Linked DNA regions of Xenopus tropicalis. The protein of the gene in region 2 binds, or shares a complex with, the protein of the main gene of each other region. Links are inferred from orthologs where the notes say so. Each region holds a gene or a part of one and is shown on either strand. Other genes may lie near its edges.

Region 1 (5,336 bases), on a different chromosome or scaffold from region 2:
CCTGCCAAAAGCAGCACAATTCTCCATCATGCACCTAAAAAGCAGCTATAAACCATGTCAATTTTTGTTTCACTATCACAGTTCTTACTCAGAGGGGACCATGGTGGTTAAAATAGCTATGGGCCATTTGCCTATAAGGGGATATCACTGTTTTAGTTTACAGTTGACAGAAGTTTTACCTCTTGCGGGAGCCTCCAAACAGCAGGCAAGCAATGGCTTTCTTGATGTCACTACTGCCATAAATGGAGGGGGCAATACTTTTAGCAACAGTCTCATAGATATCAGGCTTTGCAGATAGGCGCCTAAACTCCTCTTCCTCTTGTGGCGTTATAGCACCTGCTGCACTTCTTCCTAAACAACGAGTAAGCAATAAATGCATATCACACATCTGACAGCTATAAGTGTTGAGTAAGTGTATGTGTTGTGCTTGGGGGAGGCAGTGGGCACCCCCTTTAGAAAATATTATTAACACTCGGGATTATATAGGAATTGTGTTCAACTGGAATGGAATGGAAAGTTCAACTGGAATGTGTTACTGTCCCTTTAAACATAGCTGCACTTTTGCATATTGCCACCTCTCACCTGTTCCTTCTGTATCCACTTGGATGCCCACTACCCTTATATAGGAACTGCGGATCCCAACTCCCACTCGATCCCGGCCCTTTGTTGAGGTCTTTCCACTCTTCCGGATTGAGTAAATACCCATGATTGTCACTCTGTTTCCAGGAACAACCTTATCACACAAGTACCTTAAATAGACATTAGGAAATTTAAATGTTTAATGTGGTATCACAATAATTTACACCAAAGCTAATAGCATTAGATATAAAAAGGCAGACTCGAAAATAAATGCATTTTAAATGGGGTTAATTTAAGCCGAGGTTACAGTGCACTTTAAATGTCTTAACCACAAGACACTGTATGGAAGAGTCTCCTGTAGCAACATTAACTCTGCAGCTAAGCATCAAATTGACAGTGATCAGAAAAAAAGCCTCTGTCTACATCCCAAAAGAAATATAGATGAAAAGGACCAATTATTTGCAAACCTATACATAGAACATACTGCATTTCTCTAATCTAGCAATATCTGTTTCATTACAAATATATTTAATTTTAAACATACCTGTCACAATACAACTGCATGTGTCTTGGAAGCTCTCCATGAGGTACAGCATCTGGAGACTCCTGAAGCTTCAGAGTTTGAAAATCTACACATTTGCACTTGTCAGGTATAATAAAGTATGGGTCCAATGGGCACTTTGGACGGCCAGCCTGTTCCCTGTGAAGAGTAACAGCAAAAGTTAAAAGAATCTAAAAGGTAAATGTTGTGCTGACTAATCAATTTTACCACAGCTAACAGCCAATTCCATCCAGTGGTGAACTATGGCTCCTAGACCTTCCCCCCATATCAACTGTTAACAGATAATGGAAATACACTCCACTTCACTAAGAATAGTACGAAGTATAAAAAGGCTTAAGAAGTTTGACAAGTTGCTTCCATTGGAAGAAAACTTTATATTACACAATCACAAGGGTCCAAGTAACATCAAAAGACATTCATGTTCCACAGAACTTCAATTACACATACGTGTTGCATTTACGTGGCATAGCATATCCCTCTAGACCAGGACGCACAGCTATGTTGCCAATTGTGTTTCGGCAGCTACGACACTGGATTGAGATCTTCGTAGCCTTGGCTCTCACAGCGGTGGCAGCAATGATAATGCCGGGAATTTTGACAAGATGAGACATTTGCTCGGACTGCAATATAACATTGGGTGAGAATATGCAATGGTTAATAAAGTGGCACAGGGATTAAATAACCCTAAGTAATATTAATGGCAGTATGTTGTGACTTCAGTGGAACAAGCTGCACCACTGACTAAGCAGGGCATAATATTTAAGTCTAGATATTTAAGCATACTTTGATGAAAATCTGACATTACCACCACTTTGAAATGAAAATATTAACAAATGTCATTTATAAAAAAAAACAAAAAAAACACAGGTATTGTAATTATATGTTTACGTAGCCATGTGACAATGCAAATTTCAAGAGACCATCAACCATAGAATTTCTCACCTTCAGGCTTCGAATATTAGCAGGGTTGGCATCAGACCGCAACATAACTTGGATTTCCTGTATAGTTTCTTCACCTGCAGGTCGTGGGCGAGTCACCTCATCTGCAACTTCCTGGGCTGCCTCTTCCAGCTGTAAATTGAGTTAAACAATGAGTAAAATCATAAAAATATATAAAATCACACACTGACTGTGACATATCTTGCTATATTATACATATACTCTACATCCCAGATGTAAAGACCTTAATACTCACAGTACTGGCAAATAACTGGCAGACTGAACACATTGGTACTAAAAGCTACTTACCAGCTGCAGATGTTCAGTTGGCTGTTTGTACAAATAATCTGCAAGGTCCTCATCAAAGCTGGCCAGGTCCTCCATTTCCACCTCTATCCAGTATTCTCCCAGATTATAGTGACGCTTGAGTTCATCTCTGTAAATAAAATATGTTGTTGAATGTATGTTATTTGGCCCTGTCACAGATACTGAGGGTTGTAAACTACAAATCTGTAAAACTATGGTCAGTCCCGATTTTGACATTGACTTAAGCACCTGCAACACCTTAAAGAGGAATATAAAGACAAAAATCCTAGTTCTTTGTGATATTTAGTCCAAAAAATAAATTGACAAAATAAACTTATTGAAAATTCTCTACCATTTTTTATGGCTTTCCTATAACAGACTTGGGAAAAAGTTTTCAGATATGAATACAGAGCTCCAGTTAGCTGTGTTTTAACTCAGTTTTACATGCTTTGCCATCTGATTTTTTTTAACACCTCCTCTTATCACAGCCACTGTGCATTATGGGTATCTCTGTACCATTAATGTAACCATGGATCTATGTCTAGGATGGAAGGACAGTAGTGGATCGGAAGTAATTACAGAACAGCACTGACACAAGTGATGGGTATGACATTTCACATGTATGTAGATGAATATACAATGTAAAAGTCCCCTTTACATGGCACTTAATGACACATGCGCTCGTATATATGTTCGGGTCATGCTCAAGCCCATTAGTAACCTCTGAATTAATCAGATCCCTTCGTTTAGGATTACACCTAACAAAATCAAACTTGTAAATCGTTACAACAAAGTGTCCCAGACCTGTATTTGAAGGTGAAGCCGGTGCGATCGGTCCCTACACGGTACTGCCTGAGGAACTCTCTGAACCGCTTCTTAAGTTGTGATTTCTTGGCTTGTCCGTCGTCACCCACCGGCTGCTCTCCGCCAAAACTATCGCTGTAGTAGATTCCAAGATCGTCAAATCCCGACATTGTAACGAAGAAAAGGGTACCAAGCACAAAAGGCGAGAGCTGCGGCCGCCAATGCACCTATTTCACAAGAACGCGCGAAATCTTTTTTTCGCGCCAAACCTCTGTAACAGCGACGATCTGTTCCGCCTCAGCTATTTCCCTATTGGTTGATACCGTTTCTAGGGACCGCCCTTCTCCTGTATCTACGGCCAATCCAGCAGTGCACGCCTTACGTAAGAGATTTCGAAGCCTGCTGAGTGGCTGGGAGTAATGGCAGCTTTTTCCCTTTCATAGGTGGGAGGGCAATGCCTGGCGCCAAACTTTACCGAAACAAAATGGAGGAAGTTGTAGCTGAGGAACAGAAAAACTAGCGTGTTCAGAGGAGTCCAATACTCTGAGGCAGTATTTTAGAACCGAGTTCTACTTGGTCTTGTTATGGTGATTTCATTCTACATTTCTATCTATTTTACTTAAAGGGATATTATGATTTTTATGGTGAACTGTTTATTTCTAGATTTCAGTGTTTACTTAACTTGCTCTACCATTTAAAGGAGAAAATCAATTCATACTTACCGAGATTTTCTTTTCCTGGCCTTCCTCCCTGGCAGCATAACATTTGGGTTTATCCTCTACCAAATGTTATGCTGCCAGGGGATGGCCAGGAAAATGTTATTCTGTGTAGGCAGCTATGTCAGTGCATTGTGCCTGAGGGGTAGATTTATTAGAGTGAGAAACTTGCTAGAGTGAAATTCTACTATTATTTTTTTAAAAGGGTGAACTTTTACACTCACTAATTGATAAATATGCTTTTAAAAATCAATGGATAGAAGCGTATGTAGGGGTTTATCAAAAATGGGCCCTTAGGACAGACACCCCTAGACTAGGCCACTGGTTGGTGTTAGTTAGCAGGGACACTGGGATGACTGGGTTCTACATAGTTAACAGGGAGTATACCTGTAGTTCGGGTTATGGCCACCGGGTGGTGCATAGGCCCATAAAAAGGGTAGCAGCCATCTTGAGCCACTTTAGGCTGGGATAGCTCCTGGGACCAGGAGCTTCCCCTGATAGAGTTATTAGATAGTAGTTTCTTGTAATAGGACATTCTAGGAGTGTCATGTAGGACACCAAGCTAGAATGGGCGGATATTGCCCCTCCAGGAGTGGTAGTGGGGTTAAGACCCCCCAGCATTACATCTGCTGGAGTGCAGGGCATTAAGTGGCTAGGTAGGTGGACAAGTCCCCGCTAGTCCAGGAGTCCGGATCTGAGGGTGCCATACGCTAGTACCGGTGTGGGTCCTTGTGGTGTAACTCCTAGCATGGGTACTGAGAACTCCAAAGGGAGGGTCTCACAGATAGTACCGGGGATAGCACCTAGATAGGAGCACATTGGGGAAACCCGTGAGGTAGTACCAACAGGAAAAGGATCTCAATGAGAAGTAAGGAGATATGCCCTGCCGTGTGTATAAATGATATGCCGCTCCTGGAGAGGTCTCTGCCTGAATAAACCATAGCATTCCTTTCATATACAACTGTGTCTGCTGTGAGTATCTACCTAGCCCAGAGGACCACTACTACGCCGGTAAGGAATAACTCAAAGAGTGAGTACATCACACCGGGAGTACGTGGGTCCCAAAGGGGCATTGTATCCTGATCGTTTCCCAGGGGGTGGAATATAGTTCCACAAGACCATCCCTGGGTGGAGGCACGCCATTTAGGGGAGAATCCCTTGTAAACCCCCATAGTAAGCGGGGGCTCAGGACTCCTGTAGCGCCAAAGTATCGTGCTCCAACGGGTAGTGCCACAACCGTGCATAAAGTGGGCTACACGTAATTTCGGTATAGTGGACTGTGGCAAGCTCTAACTTCGCTCATTGATAAATATACCCCTGAGTCTGAGCCTTCAGAAGGAGCCAGTGCTACACATTAGAACTGCTTTCAGATAACCAATCGTGTCTCCTCCTCCCATGTAACGGGAGGAGTCCCAAGCCAGACTTGGATT
Region 2 (5,359 bases):
TAAAAAGTGTATGTTTGCTTCAGAAACACTACTACAAGTTATATGAAGTATATGGCACAACCAAAAGAATAGGGTAAAAAGGCACACATCTACACAGCAGAGTACAATGGTGCTGTTTTTACACAGCATAATAAACATGGGTCAAATGCCATTCATTCTTTCTACAGAACAATTGATTGAAAACCTCTTATATAATATAGAACCTATAATACTTAATGCTCAGGACCAGGGGTTTTTCCTGTACAAGCGGTCATTGTGTAATTTGGATCTTCATGCCTTAAGTCTGCTCAAAATGTATTTAAACATAATATACCAAATAGGATTGTTTTGTCTCTAATAAGGTTTGATTATATCCTAGTTGGGATTTAGTACAAGTACTGATTTATTACAGAGAAAAAGGAAATTATTTTCTTAAATTTTAATTATTTAATTAAAATGCAGCCTATGGGCCTTGCCGTAATTTAGAGCTTTCTGGATAACAGGTTTCCGGATAACGGATCACATACCTGTACTGGATATGTGTGGCCAAGAATTACCATTGTGTCCACTTTCCACATCCTGTACAGTTTGCATGATGGTACATGATGATAACAGAGATCTCATGACCTGTGACCAGGCCTGGACTGGCAATGTGTGGATTCTGGCAAATTCCAAAAGGACTGCTGTTAGATGCCATAGACAAGCACTATTTAGTGAACTAGCAGGGGCCTTGAAATGCAAGGGCATATATTAAATCCCAGTCTGCTTGTGGCCCACAAAAAAGTGGTCTAGTTTATGATTATTAGATATTATTACCTATGTTTAAATAATTTTATCTTGAAAAAATTACAGTACAGCTCTTAGTCACATATTACTTACTTTTCCCTCCTTTCTCCACATCAGATCGGTCATTGGGACCCGCCAACATGGAAACGGAGTAGCAACGGTACTGAGTAGAGAAGCGGTTTTGGAAAACCCGGGGTATGGGGTGGTCAAACATGTTGAAAGAAAACTAAAAGAGAATGGAATTAGTGAGATTTTGGAGCTGTTATTTCATTAAGCAACATAAAGATACATCGTGATAATTTGAGAAATTCTTTTTTACTTTGTTTTTACCCTTTTAGTGTTATTTAAGTGATCTGTAAAAACAAAAACTATTACGGAAACATACATTCAGATTAAAATCATACTGTTATTTTTCATGTAAAAAAAATCTTACATACAACAACTCTTCTTTCCCATCCAAGATGCATATAGCAGTAAAAAACTAACCCCTCAGTCACTGTTCAGCCTCCATAAAACCTGGCAGGTAAATGGTGTTTTATGATGATATATAGGTATACATGACATGACGCTATCACAAATGTGGAAGACAGATCTTACCATTTTGTTACCGGCTTTCTCTTATTATCCCGGCGGACCTAACACTATCTTAGTCACCGTCCTTCCCGGAAGTAAATATAATTGCGAATCAGACGATCGGAACAAGAGAAACTACGAATCCCAAGAAGCAACACGCTAAAAGCGGAAGTTAATAGACCGCTGTCAGATATCGGGAAGCGACCAATTGGCTGCTAAACTGTAGGACGCAGAGGCGGGGTTTATCTTGCGCTGAGCCTTCACGGATTGGGCGGGGTTGGTGTATGTCACGACGAAACGGGCTGTTTGATTGGCCACCGCTGCTCTAAGGGATTTTGGCGCCAGTTTCGAGGGCAGCCGTCAACTTGTCGAGATGTTTGTGAGTGATCTCCGTAAAGAGTTTTACGACGTGATCGTTACCGAGGTGAGAAGGGTAACCGGGATAAAGGATTTTTTTTCCCAAATAAATGATATGACACCACTCACTGTCTCTTCTCTGATTTCCAGCGCGTTCTTCTCCTTGTTGCACCTGATGTTGATGCTCTCTGCGCCTGTAAGGTACTTCAGGTAAGAACAAACCAAAATTAAGTTTTTTTTCAACAATTTAAATCACCATACCTACTTAAAACAACATGTAACTATGAAATAAAGCCAATAGGATTGCTTTATCACTAACAAGTTTTTATGCAGCTTAGTTGCTGTAAAGTACAAGATACTGTTTTATTACAGAGAAAATGTAATTAAAAAAAAAGATTTTGCATAAAATTGACAATGGGAGATTTCTGCATATCTGGTTTCCATTAAACTCACAGTGCCCCTTGCACAGATCCGACAGTATAAACACTTCATCCCCACATATAAAGCTGGTCATACCACCTAGTTTGCCAAATGAGTGGATCTTTGTCCCATATGTCACAGCACCACACTGATTGTTAGGCCTTCGACCAATGATTGGATCATAATGGCTGCTAATGCAGGCTGTTGGGAGAGGTCCACATCAATACGTATGTGGTGCTCTTCCCAATGGGTTTTTTTTTTTTTCTACACTGCCTAATATGTTGGCCAGGTAAATATCAGGGATGAAGTCGGAGAGGACCCATGTACCGGTAAATACAACTTATTTTATTTCCCACCAGATAATGTGCATGGTACCAACAGTGTTGCAGCTCTTGAACCATTTAGGGTCTGCTACTAAAACACTGTTACTAAAACAATGTAAAGTGTACTAGTGAGTATAAGTTACCAATGATAGAAAAACCTAGAAAGAAGGATAAATATTTCATTTCTGAAATCTGAACACTTGCCCCAAGTTGGTTCTATTATTCCTCCATCTCCAGCCTTTTGCCCAAATGAAAACATTTTATAGTGTAAAATTCTTGTGAAAGTTTTGCATTTGCTACATATAAATAGTGCATCTGTGTAATGGTGGATACTATGATTTAACTTTTATTTTTACCATAACTACGTAGTCATATTTTTTGGTTTTGGTCAAATGCACCTTAGAAGTTTAGTCCAAACCCTTATTAGCACATTTACAAAATATTGCAACAATTGTGAACAAATATTTGTTCTATTCAATTGTCCAGAGTGGTAATGTGCTTGGTCTTAAATTTTCCAATTCTTCCCCCTTTATTAAAGGAACAGTAACACTAAAAAATGAAAGAGCTTTAAAGTAATAAAAATATAATGCACTGTTGCCCTGCAATGGTAAAACTGGTGTGTTTGCTACAGTAACACTACTATAATTTATATAATAAGCTGCTGTGTAGTCATGGGGGCAGCCATTCAAGCTGTAAAAAAGGAGAAAAGGCACAGGTTACATAGCAGATAACAGATAAGTTCTGTAGAATACAATAGTGTTTTATCTGTTATCTGCTATGTGCCTGTGCCTTTTCTCCTTTGAATGGCTGCCCCCATGGCTACATAGCAGCTTATTTATATAAATTATAGTAGTCTTTCTAAAGTAAACACACAACTTTTACCAGTGCAGGGCAGCAGCACATTATATTTTAGTTACTTTTATACACTTTCATTTTTTGGTGTTACTGTTCCTTTAACTCAAACTGCCCTATCACCTTGGCTGATATCATAACATCGGGCAGTGTGCTCTAGAAACACTATCCCATCAAAGATGAAGACCAGGTTTCTAGAGCCCAGCTGCTGGACAGTGATAACCTGCACTTGAAGTAGTGAGCCATTTTTTGGGCCAAACCAGCTCTTTAAAGTCATGTGATTTTAATAACCATTTAGTTTAGGGGAATTAAAAAATCTGCAAACAGTGCTAGGATAATCCAAAATCCTGGATTTGGTGCATGCCTCTCCTTAATGCATTAAAGGTACCTGCCATTTAAAAATCTAGCACCAAAAAAGCATAAAATATGTAGTCTTAGCACTTTAAATATAGGCTGAAAACTGTTGATTTTTCTTAGTGAACTGGTAGACTATTTAGCATTTTTAAGAAATTTAAAAATGTCTAAAAAGTAGTTTTGTTTTTTTTTTCTCATTTTAAGTGTATGCTGGCCAAATTACCCACCAAGTAAACCCATCATTTGATACACCCTGGGTGTACTAGTAAAGGGCAAACAAGTGCAAGATCATTTGTATTATACGACTAGTCACAAATGTTTAAAGTATTCTGGATGCATGGACATTAATTGATGTTTTAGGAGTTTTCTTTAAAGGACATGTAAACCCCACGCACAAACAGCCTCTTAGAAATCTTTTTTTAATACCTGTCACACTGGTTGTCCAGAGGTTAATAGAAAGGCTGCAGCATCCCATTAATCACTTAGATTTCCTTCTCCTCCTGTAACCCACTCAGCCCCCTCCCTCAGAGATTTGCTTTGACTTCTGGCTTGTGGGCATGCTCAGTTGTTCTAAGCTCCGATTACCAAACACGCTCTCCAGTCTAGCAGCCAATGAAGAGATGGCATTTCTGGGTCCCATAGAAGCTCAGGTCTAGCTGTCTGCTTCAATGTTTTTCTTCTAACCTCCTGTCCTGAGCTCAGCTTAAACAAAGCAGAACTTTTATCGAAGACAGTTCTGCCTGTGTGAGCCTGTATTCTTTATGAAATGTATGCTGAATTCGGGTCTGTGTGTGTATGTTTGCAGATATAAATGTATTTGATTATGTATCAGGAAAAATGGCCACTGGGTGAAAGCTGCTATTTGCTTTAGAAAAAATGTAATTGTGCTGATAAACAGAGGGGGATATATGCAGTGCAAATTATGCCATTTGGGTGGGGGAAGACGTGCCCACCTGATATATATTGTAGGCAAATGTAGGCTTTACATGTCCTTTAAGAATCTGTATACAACTAAATTGCCCCCTCCCTCATCTGCTATGTTGGACTGTTTTAACAATCAAAACAAATCCGGTGTAAGCAAAGCCTTAAATGGGAACTCCATTTTAAAAGTATATGTACATTTTAATATTGAAGCAATATGCCTTTTTATATTTTTTTCTGACTTATAAGAACTTAAAATAAAAATAAATTAAATAAAATCTTGATCTCCTTACAGACAAAGCATCAGTTCCCATAGTGTAATGCAACAATGCATTGTGGGAGTTGGTGTCTTAGCTGGAGGAACGGTGACTTGCTGCATTGTTTAAACTCTAGGGACAAGAACAAAACTTTTAGACAGATGATGCGTGCAATATCATTTAATTTAATTGGATAGCTGCTAAAAATAATTAACTATATAAGGCTGCACAATGACGCTGAAACCCCCTCATGTAAACAGAGATATGATTTTTGTATTAAATGTCTTCTCTGATAGCTTAACCAGTGTTAATCTTTTTTGTGCACAGGCATTATTTCAGTGTGATCATGTACAGTATACCTTGGTCCCAGTCTCTGGCTGGCAGGAACTTGAAACATTGTTTCTTGAACATAAAGAACAGGTAATCTGTCATTCTTGTACTGTTTCTTTTCCAATTCTCATTTTATAGCATATGTAACCTCACCAGTGCTAGGTGTCTAGTTTGGCTGCATCTTATATCTGTTATACAGTCTGCAAT

What was found. Proteins that work in one complex are often made in the same cells at the same time.
Region 1: cdc45 (region 2) and mcm5 share a complex: the UniProt entries of both Homo sapiens proteins name them as parts of the CMG helicase complex. The link is inferred for Xenopus tropicalis from reciprocal best matches to the Homo sapiens genes CDC45 and MCM5.

What each region holds. Positions count from the first base shown.
Region 1 is NC_030680.2:115,591,618-115,596,953, reverse strand, and holds the start of mcm5 (DNA replication licensing factor mcm5), read right to left. Parts: upstream 3,376-5,336; 5' UTR 3,361-3,375; coding exon 3,191-3,360; intron 2,517-3,190; coding exon 2,390-2,516; intron 2,213-2,389; coding exon 2,084-2,212; intron 1,762-2,083; coding exon 1,589-1,761; intron 1,280-1,588; coding exon 1,124-1,279; intron 750-1,123; coding exon 583-749; intron 352-582; coding exon 180-351; intron 1-179. UniProt on the Homo sapiens protein: Acts as a component of the MCM2-7 complex (MCM complex) which is the replicative helicase essential for 'once per cell cycle' DNA replication initiation and elongation in eukaryotic cells.
Region 2 is NC_030677.2:154,230,173-154,235,531, forward strand, and holds the start of cdc45 (cell division control protein 45 homolog), read left to right. Parts: upstream 1-1,597; 5' UTR 1,598-1,711; coding exon 1,712-1,762; intron 1,763-1,845; coding exon 1,846-1,905; intron 1,906-5,149; coding exon 5,150-5,242; intron 5,243-5,359. Other genes in the region: ufd1 (ubiquitin fusion degradation protein 1 homolog), read right to left, coding at 859-991, 1,363-1,365. UniProt on the Homo sapiens protein: Required for initiation of chromosomal DNA replication. Core component of CDC45-MCM-GINS (CMG) helicase, the molecular machine that unwinds template DNA during replication, and around which the replisome is built.